2 linked regions of the Oryza sativa Japonica Group genome follow. The main gene of each other region encodes a partner of the protein of the gene in region 2 in a complex. Links are inferred from orthologs where the notes say so. Each region holds a gene or a part of one and is shown on either strand. Other genes may lie near its edges.

What was found.
Region 1: conserved oligomeric Golgi complex subunit 7 (region 2) and conserved oligomeric Golgi complex subunit 5 share a complex: the UniProt entries of both Arabidopsis thaliana proteins name them as parts of the conserved oligomeric Golgi complex. The link is inferred for Oryza sativa Japonica Group from reciprocal best matches to the Arabidopsis thaliana genes EYE and AT1G67930.

The regions. Positions count from the first base shown.
Region 1 is NC_089039.1:18,421,457-18,428,804, forward strand, and holds the start of conserved oligomeric Golgi complex subunit 5, read right to left. Parts: upstream 3,910-7,348; 5' UTR 3,831-3,909; coding exon 2,757-3,830; intron 1,981-2,756; coding exon 1,510-1,980; intron 402-1,509; coding exon 1-401. UniProt on the Arabidopsis thaliana protein: Required for normal Golgi function.
Region 2 is NC_089040.1:28,595,122-28,602,668, forward strand, and holds the start of conserved oligomeric Golgi complex subunit 7, read right to left. Parts: upstream 4,196-7,547; 5' UTR 3,961-4,195; coding exon 3,673-3,960; intron 2,726-3,672; coding exon 2,636-2,725; intron 2,531-2,635; coding exon 2,411-2,530; intron 2,323-2,410; coding exon 2,221-2,322; intron 2,134-2,220; coding exon 1,883-2,133; intron 1,728-1,882; coding exon 1,582-1,727; intron 1,412-1,581; coding exon 1,213-1,411; intron 1,102-1,212; coding exon 435-1,101; intron 139-434; coding exon 1-138. Other genes in the region: protein REVEILLE 6, read right to left, coding at 5,746-5,761, 5,845-5,942, 6,521-6,580, 7,093-7,202. UniProt on the Arabidopsis thaliana protein: Required for normal Golgi function. Necessary for embryo development and pigmentation, especially for the expansion of cells and organs, and for the formation of the organized shoot apical meristem (SAM).

The sequences.
Region 1 (7,348 bases), on a different chromosome or scaffold from region 2:
ATGGTCTCTGAGCGGGATGATGATGAAGGTAGAAGCTTTGACAAGAACTCGCTACGGAAGTGGACAGCACACTTCTGCAGTTCCTCCATGTAAGCTGAAGCGTTGTTATCCATTGTTGCGTCCATTCCATGAGTTCCAAAGTCCTGCTCGTGCATTTTCAGAATGCATGATCCGAGACGATCAAACATTTCTTTGAATAGAGGGCTCACTGAATCACACGCGACTGTATAAATGGCCTCAAGGGATTTGGAAAGTTTTTCAGAGGTAACATTTGGAAGTGTTGACACAATGCTTGAAATACGTGTGTGAACATCCTGGAGGTGAAGACATAGAGCAAAGTTTTTCAGTTGAGCTGGAGTCACTGTGCCAGTAACTTGCCGGGCTTCAGTGCCAGTAGAGATCTGCATTGAAGCAAAATATACATCAGCGCCTAGCAGATGCATACAAAAACCAAGACAATGCCTGCAGCCAATTTATGGTCATTTTGCAGTTGTGCACTGCACGACAAGTGTATAAATGAACCCGTGCAGTGCGCGCACATACAAATAAGCAAGTATATCACATAGGAGGAAATGGTGAAAATAGTACTCAGTCGGTAAAACAACCAACAGCAAAGCAAACAATATAATTAGATTGTACGTGCATTTTTGCTCTCCAGCAAAGGCACATTGATCCAACTCTTCTATGCCGTAGATTTTAGAATGGCTTAAACCAGCGAATGTTGTCCATGTTTCATGATCTGCTATTCTGCTTAAGACGTCAGTCGCATTTTCTCATGCAGCAGTGCACTATAGGACATCATTTTTTTCATAATGCAAGTTCTATGCTGTACTCTCTTTACTTCAAATTGAGACAGAAGTTAAGAACACAAATTTTAGTTCACCAAACCAACATGATATCACTATTTTCTTGGAAACAACCAGCAGTCCCCACAAGTACACATTCACTGGGTTAGATTAAGATCTCTCTTATTTCACTCTGCGACCCCCAATAACCACAAAACTAACAAAAAAAACTTCCAGAATTTTATTCATCTCAATGAAAAGGCCAACTTTTATAACTAGAGGAGCTCCTAAGAACAGAATAACACAGGCACCAACAAATGCATTGTACATAGATTGAGGTGAATGAAAAGGTCGACCGAGCAGTGCATATTGAACATAGATTGAGGTCTGTGAGGTGACTGATTAGCTTCACAAACTTAGTCGAGAAAAGAGAACAATCCAATGCACAATAAGGACCTACAGATAGAGCTACAACCATCTGCTAGAAAAAAAAATCTTAAGTTTTTTTAACAGAATAAAATCTACAAAACAGTCAGTGAAACAGGTCATGACGTAAAAGTAACATATACAAGTTTCAAATCAAAATCATCAGAGTTTAGTAGTAGATTTACCATTCCATAAGAATCGCATATGCTAATATTTACATGACAAACTGAGAAAGCATACAAAATCCCTAGGAAAAACTAGAAATAAATAACTTCACTATAAAGTAGCAGGTGAATACCTGATATTCAGCTCTTTGTGCTAGGAGAAGCAAAACTTTTCCAATTTCTTGTAGAACACGAGCAAGCAAATGCCCATGAGTTCTCACAACTTCAACTTCCTCTTGGATGCGAGAAATTAACCTTGATATTTGGTCTTTTGAAGGTATACCACGGCCTGACATGGGAAATATGCTATTGATATAATCAGAGAGGCGACTATGACAAAGAGCCAGAAAGGCTGTCTGGAATATCTCAATGGCTGCAGTCATGTGGTTTTTCCCTACGGGAGTAAGAGCTGGAAGGGTGCCTTTTACATCGGTGTCTCTTAAAATCCTCTCGAGGAGGTTCTCAATCATTGAAAACAATCTTGGGTATCCAAGAGTAAAAATTTCCTTCACAAAGCTTGACGCTGTAAAGGCAGATTTCAGTTGACTTGCAAAGGCCTTAACAATAGCATCCCATACTCTCTCTGTTAACAGAGGATCACCCTCCTGCAATTTTTCTCATTGTCAGTGGGGCAAGAAACAGGAATCGGAACGCATGGTGAGCATGTCAATGCTAAATTTCAAAAAAAAAAAAAAAAGGTGAGCAATATCAAGATATTGGCACACAAGTATAAACTATTGACAGGTAAATATTAGAACGAGGAAAAATTTAGCACTTGATTGTACAGACCATGGAACATCCACACATAAATTTCACACAGCAGGAAGTTATAGGAGATAGAAAGGACTATATGTGTTTACTAGTGTAGTAAGTAATAACTCAGTATATGTTGCAACACTGAGCATCATGAATAGATAGTTCATATTACTTTCCAACTGACATCTTAAAGATAATTCATTATTCTAGAAGACTAGAACTGATATATTATATCTAATCCAAGGCATGCACTTATTTCTACTATCAACTACTTGAAAATGATATATCGTAAGATCCAATTTAGGTTGACAAATTACATTGTGATATATCATGCAAACCTGCCAACTCAAGTGTAAACAATATAGGATCAATAACTAAACATGTAGACTTAGATCAAATTTGTTCCCTGCAAAATAGTTACAGGTATATCGATGTAAATTATTCTGCCTAAGTCTCTCGGCTGCCAACATATCTCATGACTCACAGTCACAGACGAACATCATATTGTCAACAAAATCTTCATATAGTGTCTATTCGATGTTTACCAACTTTAACACATCTTATATTCTAAATTTCATTTCAATTAATTTGCAGCAATAGGATTAGCCCATTGATCAGGTCTCACCTGCCAAACCTCCTCGAGGAACAGCATTTGTGTGAATGGAACACGTTTCTTGGTGAGCACAGTCTGCAGCTGCCATGCGGCCGTGACCGACCGATGCAGCTCCTCCATGCACTGTCTCATCCTATCCCACAGTGCCTCCGCCGCCTTCTTACTGCCACCAATCTGTGGCGTGCCACTCCTCTGCACGCCTCCAGGGCCACCTCCACCCCCTGCAGCCATTGATATAGCCTTCATGTCCAGTGCCACAGCCACACTCTTCGCTCCTGCCGCCTTGTACTTCGCCACGAGCCCTTCCACTGCCGGCTTCAGTTCTCCGAGATTATAGTACACCTGCAGCCCGCACCAGACGTCGTTCTGGTTGGACTCAGCAATGCCGCGATCGATCACAGCGCTGGCCTCCGATCGGAGCTTAGAGGCAGCCGCATCGACCTTGCGCATCTCCTCGTCGACGGCATTGATGCCGGCGAGGTTCTTCTCCTCGTAGAGAAGGCGGATCTCGCGGTGGAGCTCGGCCTGGCGGGCGAGGTCAGGAGGCGGCGTGGAGGTGAGGAGGCGGGAGGAGAGGCGGACGAGGCGGTGGGAGTGGAGCAGGAGGTCGGCGGTGGAGAGGAGGGTGGAGAGGGAGGAGGAGGAGTGCGCGAGGTGTGCGCGCGGCGCGGAGAGATGGGAGGAGAGGAGCGAGAGGTGGGAGGAGAGGAGGTGGAGGTGGGAGGGGAGGGAGGAGAGCGAGGCGGAGGCGGAGCGGAGGGAGAGGAGGTGGGAGAGGAGGAGCGGGTGGCGGCGGAGCACCTCGGCGCGGAGGTGGCGGCGGAGGAGGCGGATGGCCTCCTGCAGCTGCTCGGCGCGGGAGGCGGCGAGGCCCGAGGAGAGCGCGGCGGAGGAGAAGTCGGAGGGGGAGAAGGACGGGGAGAGGAACGCGGAGAGGACCGGGTCGGAGGCGAAGGCGTCGAGCGGGGAGGCGGGATCGGAAGAGGTCGTCGGGGAGGGCGGCGACGGGAAGGAGGAGGAGGCGGCGGCGATGAGGTCCTTGGAGGTCGGCGAGAGGAGTAGCCGCGGCGTCGCTGGCGCGGCCATGGCGCGCGCGGTGGCCGCCGGCGACCGCGGGTGTTGGTGGTGGATCTGAGAAGCGGTGGGAGAGATGGGGTAGAGATCTGAGGAGAGTGGTCTCTCGAACTCGCTGCTTGTTTGGTCGTTTGGATTTGGCTGGAATGGGCCAAATTTTTGGAGTAGCTCGAATTTCCAGCCCATACTAGTAAATGGGCCGATATTGACGACTAAAGAGACAAGGCATTTGATGGGCTGGAAATTGATTTTAGTTTAGGCCCATCTAGTGAGATGGGCCATTTGGCGGGCCTCTTATACAAGGCCTTGATGGGCTGTAAAGTTTGGCCTGCTTGGTTGAACCCATATGCTCCAATCCAACGGACTTGAGGCCTGTTCACTTTGATGAAAAAAAAAACTTACTAAATTTTGATATTACCAAAATTTTAGTATAGTTGTCAAAATTTTAACAATATTTCTTATATAGTTACCAAAATTTGGCAGCAAACTAAATGTAGCCACTGTTTTGGTAACTTTACTAAAAATTGGTAAGATTGCGCGGCTCGGAGATTCCGGTGCTCGTGCTGTGTCGGCTCGGTAGCTTCCGCTATCCGCTCCGGCGGCGGCAGCGAAAACAGGGTGACGCAGGCAACTGCGTGACGATGCCTACGCCGGCGTGATCGCCGTGACATGGCTTGGCCGGTGCGGCTGCGTTGCATGGTCCGAGATCCGAGCGAATGAAGATGCCGGTGATCAGGCGGTGACTGCCATCTCGAGTCAGACTATGATAAGCTTCACGGTTTTGCTACTGGGCGAACGATTGCCCGGGGCGATCAGGGCCGCTCCGCCCCCCCCCCCCCCCCCCCACCACGTGGGTTCTTTTTTTTTTTTGCATCGCATTACTTTCCTATACACCTAAAGTTTAGAGACCCAGAGTTTATAAGTCAAAAGTTTATATATCCGATTCAAATTTGAATTTGAATTCAAATATTTTTTACATACAGTATTTCTATACATCTAAAGTTTATAGGCCTAAAGTTTAAGTCAGAAGTTTATATACCCGTTTCAAATTTGAATTTGAGTTATATCCGATTCAAATTTGAACTTGAATTCAAATATTTTTTATATATAGTACTTCTATACATTTAAAGTTTATAGATCCAAAGTTTATAAGTCAAAAGTTTACATACCCGATTCAAATTTGAATTTGAATTCAAATATTAGTTTATAGGCCCAAAGTTTATAAGTTAAAAGTTTACATACCTGTTTCAAATTTGAATTTAAATTCAAATATTTTTTATATATAGTATTTTCTATACATAAATTTTTCCAACTTTATTTTTTTATTTTTTTTAAATTTATGGTGTAGTAGGAAGAGAAGAAGGGGAGGAGGAAGGGAGGGAGAGTAACGTATAGGAGGATGGGGGGTGATCGCCTGGGGTGGTCACCCGCCCATTAGCCACCCCTTAAGCTTCCCTCTAAGAGCAAGTTTAATAATACAGCCCACTACTAACTTCAAAATTTAAAACATCATTTATAGTCTATCTAATAGCTTACTCATACAATAGTTAGCTGTAGAAATATACTGCATCATGAATGCATAATCCATCCATCTCTCTCACATAGTTAAAAATATTGGAGCTTGTGATGTAGCTGGTTACAAATCTGTAGCCCACTTTTATTCTCTCTCCTCTCATCTCTCCTCCACACAAGCACAAATCTGATGTGGCAACTTATATAGCCCACTTATGTTACCTTAGTAACTACCACGCACCGGCGGCCTCTTCCCTCTATCGAAAAGTTAGGGTTCATCCAAAATCCCCATCTACGAAGAAGAGCCATCAAATTCTCTAAGGAAAATTCCCCATCGGAAGTGATGACCGGCAAAGAGGGTGGGCTCAATCGACGCGTGATCACTGCGGCGACCGAGGAGGAGGATGAGGAGGCGGCATTGGCCAGTGAGAAGATATCAATGAAGGCGTGCTCTGCTCGAGGCACGGCGGCCGAGAAGGCGAGTGAGTCGGTGGCCCCATGAAGAAGTCATCCACCAAGAGGAAGGCGGTGGCCGCTGGCGTTTCTGATGAACAGGAACCTACCGATGCCGATCCCCGTGGTGGCGGTGATCGACGGCGAGAAGATCATGGTCCCGAGTGGGAAGATACTGCTGGCCAACAGGCTGGTTGACAAGATACTGGCCATCAAGAGGACCCTCCACATCGACGATCCTGGAAGAGGAGCCCAACCCTCTGGTGCCGCCGGAGCTGGAGGAGAAGCTCAACGAGGACGCGCGCTTAACGGCCGAGACGCTCTATGCCCGCCAGGACAAGCTTGTCCAGTGCCAGACCATGATCCGGAACCATTGGCCATCGCCACGAGAAGGGCTACACCATGGTCGACAACGACTAAGAGGCCAGGATAGCCATACACGCACCATCACCAGATTGTGTCCACAGCTCCGACAACGATGAGGAAGAAGAGGTGACTGACAAGGTCGATTGATCTTGTAACTTAGGTGGTGTTTGGATCCAACTTTAGTCCCTATCACATCGGATGTTTATACACTAATTTAGATATTAAACATAAACTACTTACAAAACTAATAATTGCATAAATGAGAGCTAATTCGTGAGACAAAATTTTTAAGCCTAATTAATCCATAATTAACACATGTTTAGTGTAGCATCACATAGGCTAATCATTGATTAATTAGACTCAATAGATTCATCTCGCGAATTAATCCAGGGTTATGGAATGGGGTTTGTCATTAGTCTATGTTTAATACTTTTAATTAGTGTCATAACATCTGATGTGACAGGGACTAAATTTTGGCCAATGCAGAGGTGTCTACCAAATCATATCATTAGGCTAAGCATTTGAAAAGCTATAAAATTTAATAAATTATAAAATTATAGATAATATAACATGCTTGCATGATGTTTAAATGTAATAATTATTAGTGAATGATGATGTGGCATCTTTACATGTTAAGCTTTAGTATTTAGTGGGCTCTAACTTATACTAAGAGAGGATTGGAGTTATAAATCATTCCTGGAGTATTGGATTGTAGCCTTGTAGGTCGTTCCTGCAATTTTTATGGGCTAGTGGATTGTAGTTGTAGGTTGATCCTTTAATTTTACTAGATGACGGGGCGCGCCAATGTCGCGCCTCCTGTCTGCAATTTCACTTATTACTCCTGTCGACTATTAGTTCCATTAGTTGTATGGTTGGTTATACGAGAAAAAAAAAAGCATGACAAAAATTAAGGCACATCTTATCAACGACAGGTTCTTAATTTGGTTTTTCATCAGTTATTGGTGAAGCAGTGGAAAGCATCAATATAGGTGTTAAATCAAACAACAATTGTTGCTAATTATTCTAAAAATACGGTATTTTCAGAATGACCTCATTTATATATAAAAAACTATTATGCAATATTGCTATGACGCATATATGCCATTAGAAATTCCATTTGTTCAGTATAAAATGGACACTTAATTACAAACATGGGAGTAACCTTGCTGACTCTTCAATTTTCACACTTTGAGTATAAA
Region 2 (7,547 bases):
TGGGAGGCGAGCAACCTCATTGAGACGCTGTCGGACTTTAGATATGAGCACGTCATAGACGAGTTCATTTACTGTGTCTGAGAAGGCCGCAACTCTTTGTGATGTCAGAGGTAGAGCATGGAACCTTGGATCTTTTGACTGTATAACAGAAATGTTATCTTTAAATTAGCCATGAAGACAAACAAAGAGTTACTTGTGATACTTGGGAAATTATAGGTCAAAAAATAGGTTCTATGCCACATATGAGTAGCTTAAAAAAATGCATAATAGAAAAGGAAAGCTAAAAAAGATCTCCGAATTTCCTATAAAACCAGATAATCTAGCTTAATACTACCACCTAAGTTTGCAATCAGGCTGTTCAAACAAATCAGAGAAACATGTGATAACTCTAGTGTTGTGACACTAGCAAGATAATTTAAAAATATATAACTTGCCTGTTCTAGTACAGTGAAGAGCTTCTTAGACTTGTCTGGTAGATCGGTGAGGCGAATAGCTGCAATATCAAGTGCTGCCCTCCCTGTGATAGGCACTTCTGCATTCTCATCACCATTTGCTGCAGTTGATTTATCTAGGCTAGAACCAAAACCAGAAATAGAAAAGTTGGTTCCAATCCTGGCAAGAGTAGCCCTTAAAGAAGCTTCAAAAACTGAGGTTCTGCTAGTTAGGCAATCAGCAACTGTAAGAATCTGCAAAGCACCCTGGACAATAGACCATTCTTCCTCTTCAGAGACATCGACCAATCGTTGTGCTTCTTTTTTCTCTAGTCCTGCTTCCTTTTTAGAGGAATCACTATGTGCAGTATTATCCACCCCACATACAATCCTAAGGGATTTTAAAGTTTCTTGTAGGTTTGATATGTACTGCAGCATAATGTCATCTAGAGCCAATACCAGTTCATCTGCCTCTGAACCACCAGTAAGACTAATGCATCTCTCGACAGCTGCTTCAAGAAGCACTATAATTTGTGGGATGGATTCCTCCATTCTACGAACAGTTTCACTCAGCTCTATACCCTGTGCACCCACACCACGAGCAATGGCCCCACGGATATCTATACCAGCCATCTCAGCAGAAAGTAAAGCACGCTCCATTTGCCCATACCTACATAGCATGAAACACCACTGGCTGAGTACTACAGCAATAGCAACAAAAAAAATCTCACCAATGCAGTTAACTGCATGCAACAGAATTTTTCACAAGTTTTTTTTTTACCTTGCTTTAAAAGTCTCATATGGGGAATAAATAGCTTTCAATGTATTCAGCAGAACTAAAAGATCTGACTCTGAAAATAAATGTTGGATGTTCCGAGCAAAAGTGCCCGTCATGTTGTGCAGGTCGATCAGTGCTCCAAGATGCTTATTCTGCAATTTGGTACTTTTTGGCAAGTCACCTGATAAAACATCTAGTATACCTGGGTACAGAGGACATAAAATCAATTTATTGTTACGAAAGAAGTACGCATATGTGGCAAACAAGTAATATCCTTTTTTAATTGAACAGAGAAAAATAAAACATGTAATTCAATCATGAAATTAGTATAGACATACAAAAATGAAATAATACGAGAAGTTTATGCATTACCTTTTGCAACAGATCTAGTTTCAGGAACAGCATCTCCAGTTGCTAGGTTGACACGAGAGACAAAACTTGAATTCAACTCACTCATGGTTTCAACAAGTACTTTTGGGACTAGTGATTTGTATTCTTCAGGGAAAGCAGTCAGGCACCTTCAGCATTAGCATTGTAGAACATCCATTAATTTTTGGTGGAGCAAAAATATTGTCCGAATGCAGCTAAAAGATGCTGCCAAAAACTGGCTTCTGTTTACAAGGGCAAACATTGCTGATTCAGAACAAAAGACAACAGGGTACAATGAACATACCACTTCCATTCTTGTTCAAGGTAAAGTAGTGTCTCATCATAGAAATTTGGAAGCCAGCTAGCAAATGAGAGACTGTTTATGCTTTCTCCACCATACTTCTCCATCTCTACCCGCTTAGCTCTCTGTTTTAGATCAAAATCTTCCCAAAGTTTCTTTAGAGGCTTGACATGGATCTTAGTATATTGCACCTCCAGTGACTTGAATCTGCCAATACGTATCAGTATTCCACGAAGATCTTGCACAGCATCGACCTTCCAACCAAAATTTGTAGGCTTTAGATGAAATAGAGATGCCTGTACTACTGTTTAACAAATATAAATGAGATTAGTAAGAAAAACCTTGCGGTTAGAAAGTGCATCCACCAAACGAGGTTGAACCATGTCATCTAGCCGTTCTTCCAATACTTCAAGCTGCTTTCTCACATTAGCGAACTCCGCAACCTGAAAGCAACTTTTATATAAGCAAAACAAATAGCTTCTGCATATAAACTCAGTGTACTGTGCATGTTTGTGTGAGAGAGTACAATACCTCACCAACTGCCGACAAGCAATGTCTCATGGTTGCCAGGGTTTCTGCAGCTTTTGGAAGATCACCACTAGAAAATACATCCTCAACACTTTGGCTCAACTGAGCTAGTCCAGCCGCATCCTGGCATTCCGACCAACAAGCTGTTAAATCTATTAAAAGATAACCTACCACTGTGAGTGAAGCATTTACTTCAGTAACATGCACCATAGTCCACATACAACTTACCTGTAATGTTGCATACGCCGCTTCCATTCGTTGTTTCACAGTATCAATTCGTGCTAGTGCAGTTATTGACTCTGCAGATGAACCCTCAGCCTGATTGAAGAAATCATCATCATCAGTAATACAGAATTTATGAAATGTAGATGGGACTGAATACCTAGTTAGTTGATCATACATGCATATGTATGTCATATTTCATTCATTAACACCCAGTATTCAGCATTGGCCGTTACAAAGAAGGAATCACTCAGTACCCAAAAAAAAAAGTTCTAGTGCTAGCAAATTCATTCCAGTGTATTCTACAAAATGTCAAGCTAAATGTTATGAGAAGATAACGCTACACGTAACAAGAAGTACATGCTACAGGAGAAAATGTTTTGCTTGTGATTTGATGTAGCATCCTGACCTATCACCTATATGAACTAAATGATATAAGTGACGGTATCCCATTATAATAGACTATAGGCATAGTTTTATGGGCATCACTGAACTGCTGGATTTGAATGTCCTCTACAGCATACTCAAAGTTTACATGCACATAACTGCATTGCATAAGTACACAGCATTATAACATCCCGACACATGCAAGGATTTTGCCAACAGAGCTCCAGCTTGGTTTTGCCAAGCCCACGCAAATTCTGACTTCAGTTTCAGTTAACAGAGATGATCAAATTAACATATCATTTGATAAAAGCGTACAGCGATAAAATTGACATGACTAAATACAGTTCTAGTTGTACGCACTGTTCAATGCAAAGCGTACAAGGATAAAATTGACATGACCAAATACAGTACGTGAGATCCAGATCCAAGTGAAAAAACGGGGGGTACTAAAAGCGGCCAGAGGCTGAATCATACGCATAAATGAATCAAACTAAAACCTATTGTGCCAAATTGGTTCAACATTTGCTCATTCGCACCAACTATTATCGCAAGTTCGTAATCCTCCAAAATGATCTGGGTTTCGCGTGATACACGTACAATTGTGCACGAGTGAACTGTGAGATCCAGATCCAACTAGCAGGCGAGCGGGGGCGCACCTGGGAGAGCGACTGGAGGACGGAGGCGAGATGGGACCGGAGCGAGACGGCGTCGTCGCGGAGGCGGAGCGCGTCGCGGCAGGCGAGCGGGACGCGGCGGAGCGCGTCGGCGCTGTCCCGCTCGAGCGCGGCCGCGGCGTCGTCGGCGGCCGAGCGGAGGCGCTCCTCGGCGTCGGCGAGGAAGCGGTCGAGCGGCTCCGACGGGTGGCGCGCGTCCAGCGCCGCGTTGATCCACCGCTTCGGGTCGAACCCCTCCGCCCCGAACTCCGACGCGTCCACCACCACCATTTTCCGCCTCCCCTCCCACTCGCTGCGCCTCCTCCTCCGCCGCCGCCGCCGCCGCGGCTCGCCGTGGACTTGGGCGAGGGAGACGAGGAGGGGTGGCTTTGAGTTCGCTGGATTGCTACTAGTCCTTTTGCTAGGTGGGAGAGTCTTCCGTCTCCGCGGCTACTCGTAGCTAACGGCCGCCATGGGAGGGATCACCTCGGTGGAGTTCGGAGGGGGAAACGCCTGCCAAAATGGCGTGTTCTCTTGTGGGAGACGGAGTGTATTTTACAGCGGTTTTTCCTCCAAAATTTATGTCTTGTTGTTTCCAGCCATCATGTTTTTATTAGTATCAACCAAAATATAATTTATATGTAAAACTTTTAGATCAGTTCTAATTAACTTAAAAATAAGCGGCTCTATTTAATGAGCATTTTCGGCTGTTGCTTTTGTGACTGCACCATGATCGACACGAATAGTGCCGCACTCACTGTGCGTAGCTACAACTGCAACCATTGTAGCCGGCCAGAAGAACGCTCCCTATAGCCTTAGTTATGGCTGCAAGCAGCGGCATTACACCCTTAACAACAAAAAAATATAAGTTAATACAACCATAGCCATTAGCAGTGAACCCGCTAAGAAAATTACCGATGGTCCTTATGCTCATCTAACTTATGAAGCAACCTTCTCATGTGTTCGATTTAACTTAGTAAGGGTGTCCCACATGGTATAAATACATAACTTATAACTGTAAAAAAAAAATCACCAGTATTCAATGACCTCTGTTGACCCTTACTAGGTACTCCCTCCATTCCATGAAAAAACGAATCTAGAATAGGATATGATATTTTATGTCCAAATTCATAGTCTTAAGATGTGTCGCATCCGGTACTAGGTTGTTTTTTATGGGATGGAGGGGTACGCCGCTAACAGCCATGAATTCCGAATAGGAACATGCTGAATTCGGGAAAAAAAAAAACAATCTTGGAAGTGGTTAATATTCCGTAGAAAATAAATGTGATGGAATATGATTTTAGGGTAGAGTTTTACATTTCTACTTTTATCAGCTTAAAGAAAATGATGAAAATGACACCTAGAATAATTTAAAATGAAGTTTAAAAATTTCAATTTTTAACTGCAACCTGTAAACCAAAGAGCAAATGATGAGGGTAGAAATGAAGATGCACTTCAGTTTCAGATAAAATGAAAATGCATATCAATTCAGTATTCGGATACAAACAGGTGCCAAGAAGGTCGAAAATGTACATTGGGGATGGGTTGTACAACAGCAGCTATAGAACCATAGCGCAATCAATACCAGCTGCAAACTCAAACGAACTTAGATGAACACATATCTCGACTAGGTCATAGCTTTGAAGATAGTCCACAACTTCAGAGCTCACATTTCACAACAGTGGGGCGCCCTAGAGACTACACCCGAGTGCCCCACTGGTTTATTGTATTATTACCTCAAATCAGTCAACAGTATCTTTAAGCATTACATGATCACACATATTTACATACATGTATACAAAGATGTACACATACAAAAACATTTCGAGCCATGCCCCACCCCGAGGGAAAAAGAATTGCTGAGCACACAAAACTGGCTATCTACATGAACATGATTGATGAGCAAAACTAGCCTAGGGTTAGAGCATTATTGGAAGCTATACAGATGCCACGGCCACAACACGTGCTAGCGTTGGTAAACTGCCGGATCAGCCGTCCACAACTCCAGTACAAAGAGAACACAAGAACGTCTTGTGGAAACAACTGAAGCTTCGTCCGCATACAAGCAGTTCTCCCTCACTCACTTGTTACCCTGGAGTACGAAAAGTTGCTTCAGCAAGATGGGATAAAATCAGATTACAAGCACCTAGAAAACGAGAGTAACTGAAGTATTACATGAACGGGAGATGGCAACTCTGTGGAGATCCAAGATTTTCCATGCCTTCAGACTTAATTGGGTCCCCACCAGAATTACATGATGACAGCAAGCTCAGCTGCAATCAGGTAGAGTCAAAATGTCAGGACATTGCACTATAACAAATCGAAGTCAAATGCAAGTGTTGTGTAGAACATAAAATATGCCCTTATTGACATAGCTAATGCATTTCATATCTGTAGAAACTATATACCACGAAACCATGATAATAATATCCTATTTAGTTATTCAGGAAAAAGAAAAGTTCCGTATAAAGTTTCTATGGCTGTTGTAGCCAGCCCAATCAGGATCAAATCCTGCAAAGTAAGTTTGAGAGGACATGGATGCGGTCAACTTGACACTAGATATCCAGAAGAACACAGGTGGATGAGAGTAAGCATGTGGTAGGCAACTAATGCAATCTGATCACAGTAATCATGAAAGTAGCCAGTCAATTGTTTGTTATTTAAAACATTATTAGCTACCCCAAACTTCGAACACAAATTCAGCTAACAAGAACCCTAACCACAATAACTAGCCAAAATGGCAAACCTTAACGCTAGTACAGTTCAAACTCTAAATTACTCATAACATGTTTAGATAGCTACAAGATGCATAATATCAGTGGAGAACAAATACAAAAACAGAACAACTTACATGTGCCGCAAAGTTGGGGCTAGTTAAGTTCATGGACAGATTTCTCATCAGCAGTAGTACCTGTCAATTTGTCAGATCAACCAGTGTTCATTGCAAGTGAAATAAAATAGTTATGTGAAGAAAAACTAGAAGTAACAATGGTACGGTTGTCCATAAAATAGAAGAACATGAATTGATCGAAACCAATGCAGTAGAATGGTGAGACAACCTATATATATATTGATACAATGAATTCCTACTGTGTTTAGCATAAAATATACGAATAACTTCTTTCAAATGTGGAAAGTTGCAGCAGATGATTTTTTAGTTAAGGGTAAGAGCTATGAATGGAAGAGAATGCAAAGTCTTATTTTGGCCTTACTGAACAAAGAAAGGCTTCTAAGAACAACAATAGTGAAGTGAAATGTTAGTATCACTGAAACTTTTACAGCTGTTCTACAACTGGGGCCCCATAAATGCACATCTGTCTAACATTTCCGCTACTTCAAAATTAAGAATATCTGTGTTGGGAAAAGGATACGATATAATCATAGAACATTCAGAAACTATATCTCAAATCTCAAGAAACATACCGTTTCAACATCAATTGGATCCATCGCCTTTAAAGTCTGCAAATGCCCACTAGTATCTGGATCAAATATGCTTCCCAGAAAGCTGTATACTTGTGCAAAATCTGGCATAGCTGCATGTGTAACCAGAGAGGAACAAAATTATAAGAATATAGTGGAATAAAGCACTGAAGCCTACCTCAAGGAATATTTAACAATTTAAATATGATATAATATTTCACAATAAGTAAGTCAAGGACTTGTTGCATGACAAAATAACATTTTCAAATTTCAATACACGTGAAACTATACGTATGTGAATAGTCAGGCCTCAAAGGTAGATGATTACTTGCAACCATGCAAACAACATGAGAAACTTAGTTTCCATTGACTATAGAAGACTAGTCTAAACCCCCCCATCAGGGATCATCAATTATGAAATGTGATGCCTTTGTGGAACCAAATCATTAACTAAGTTC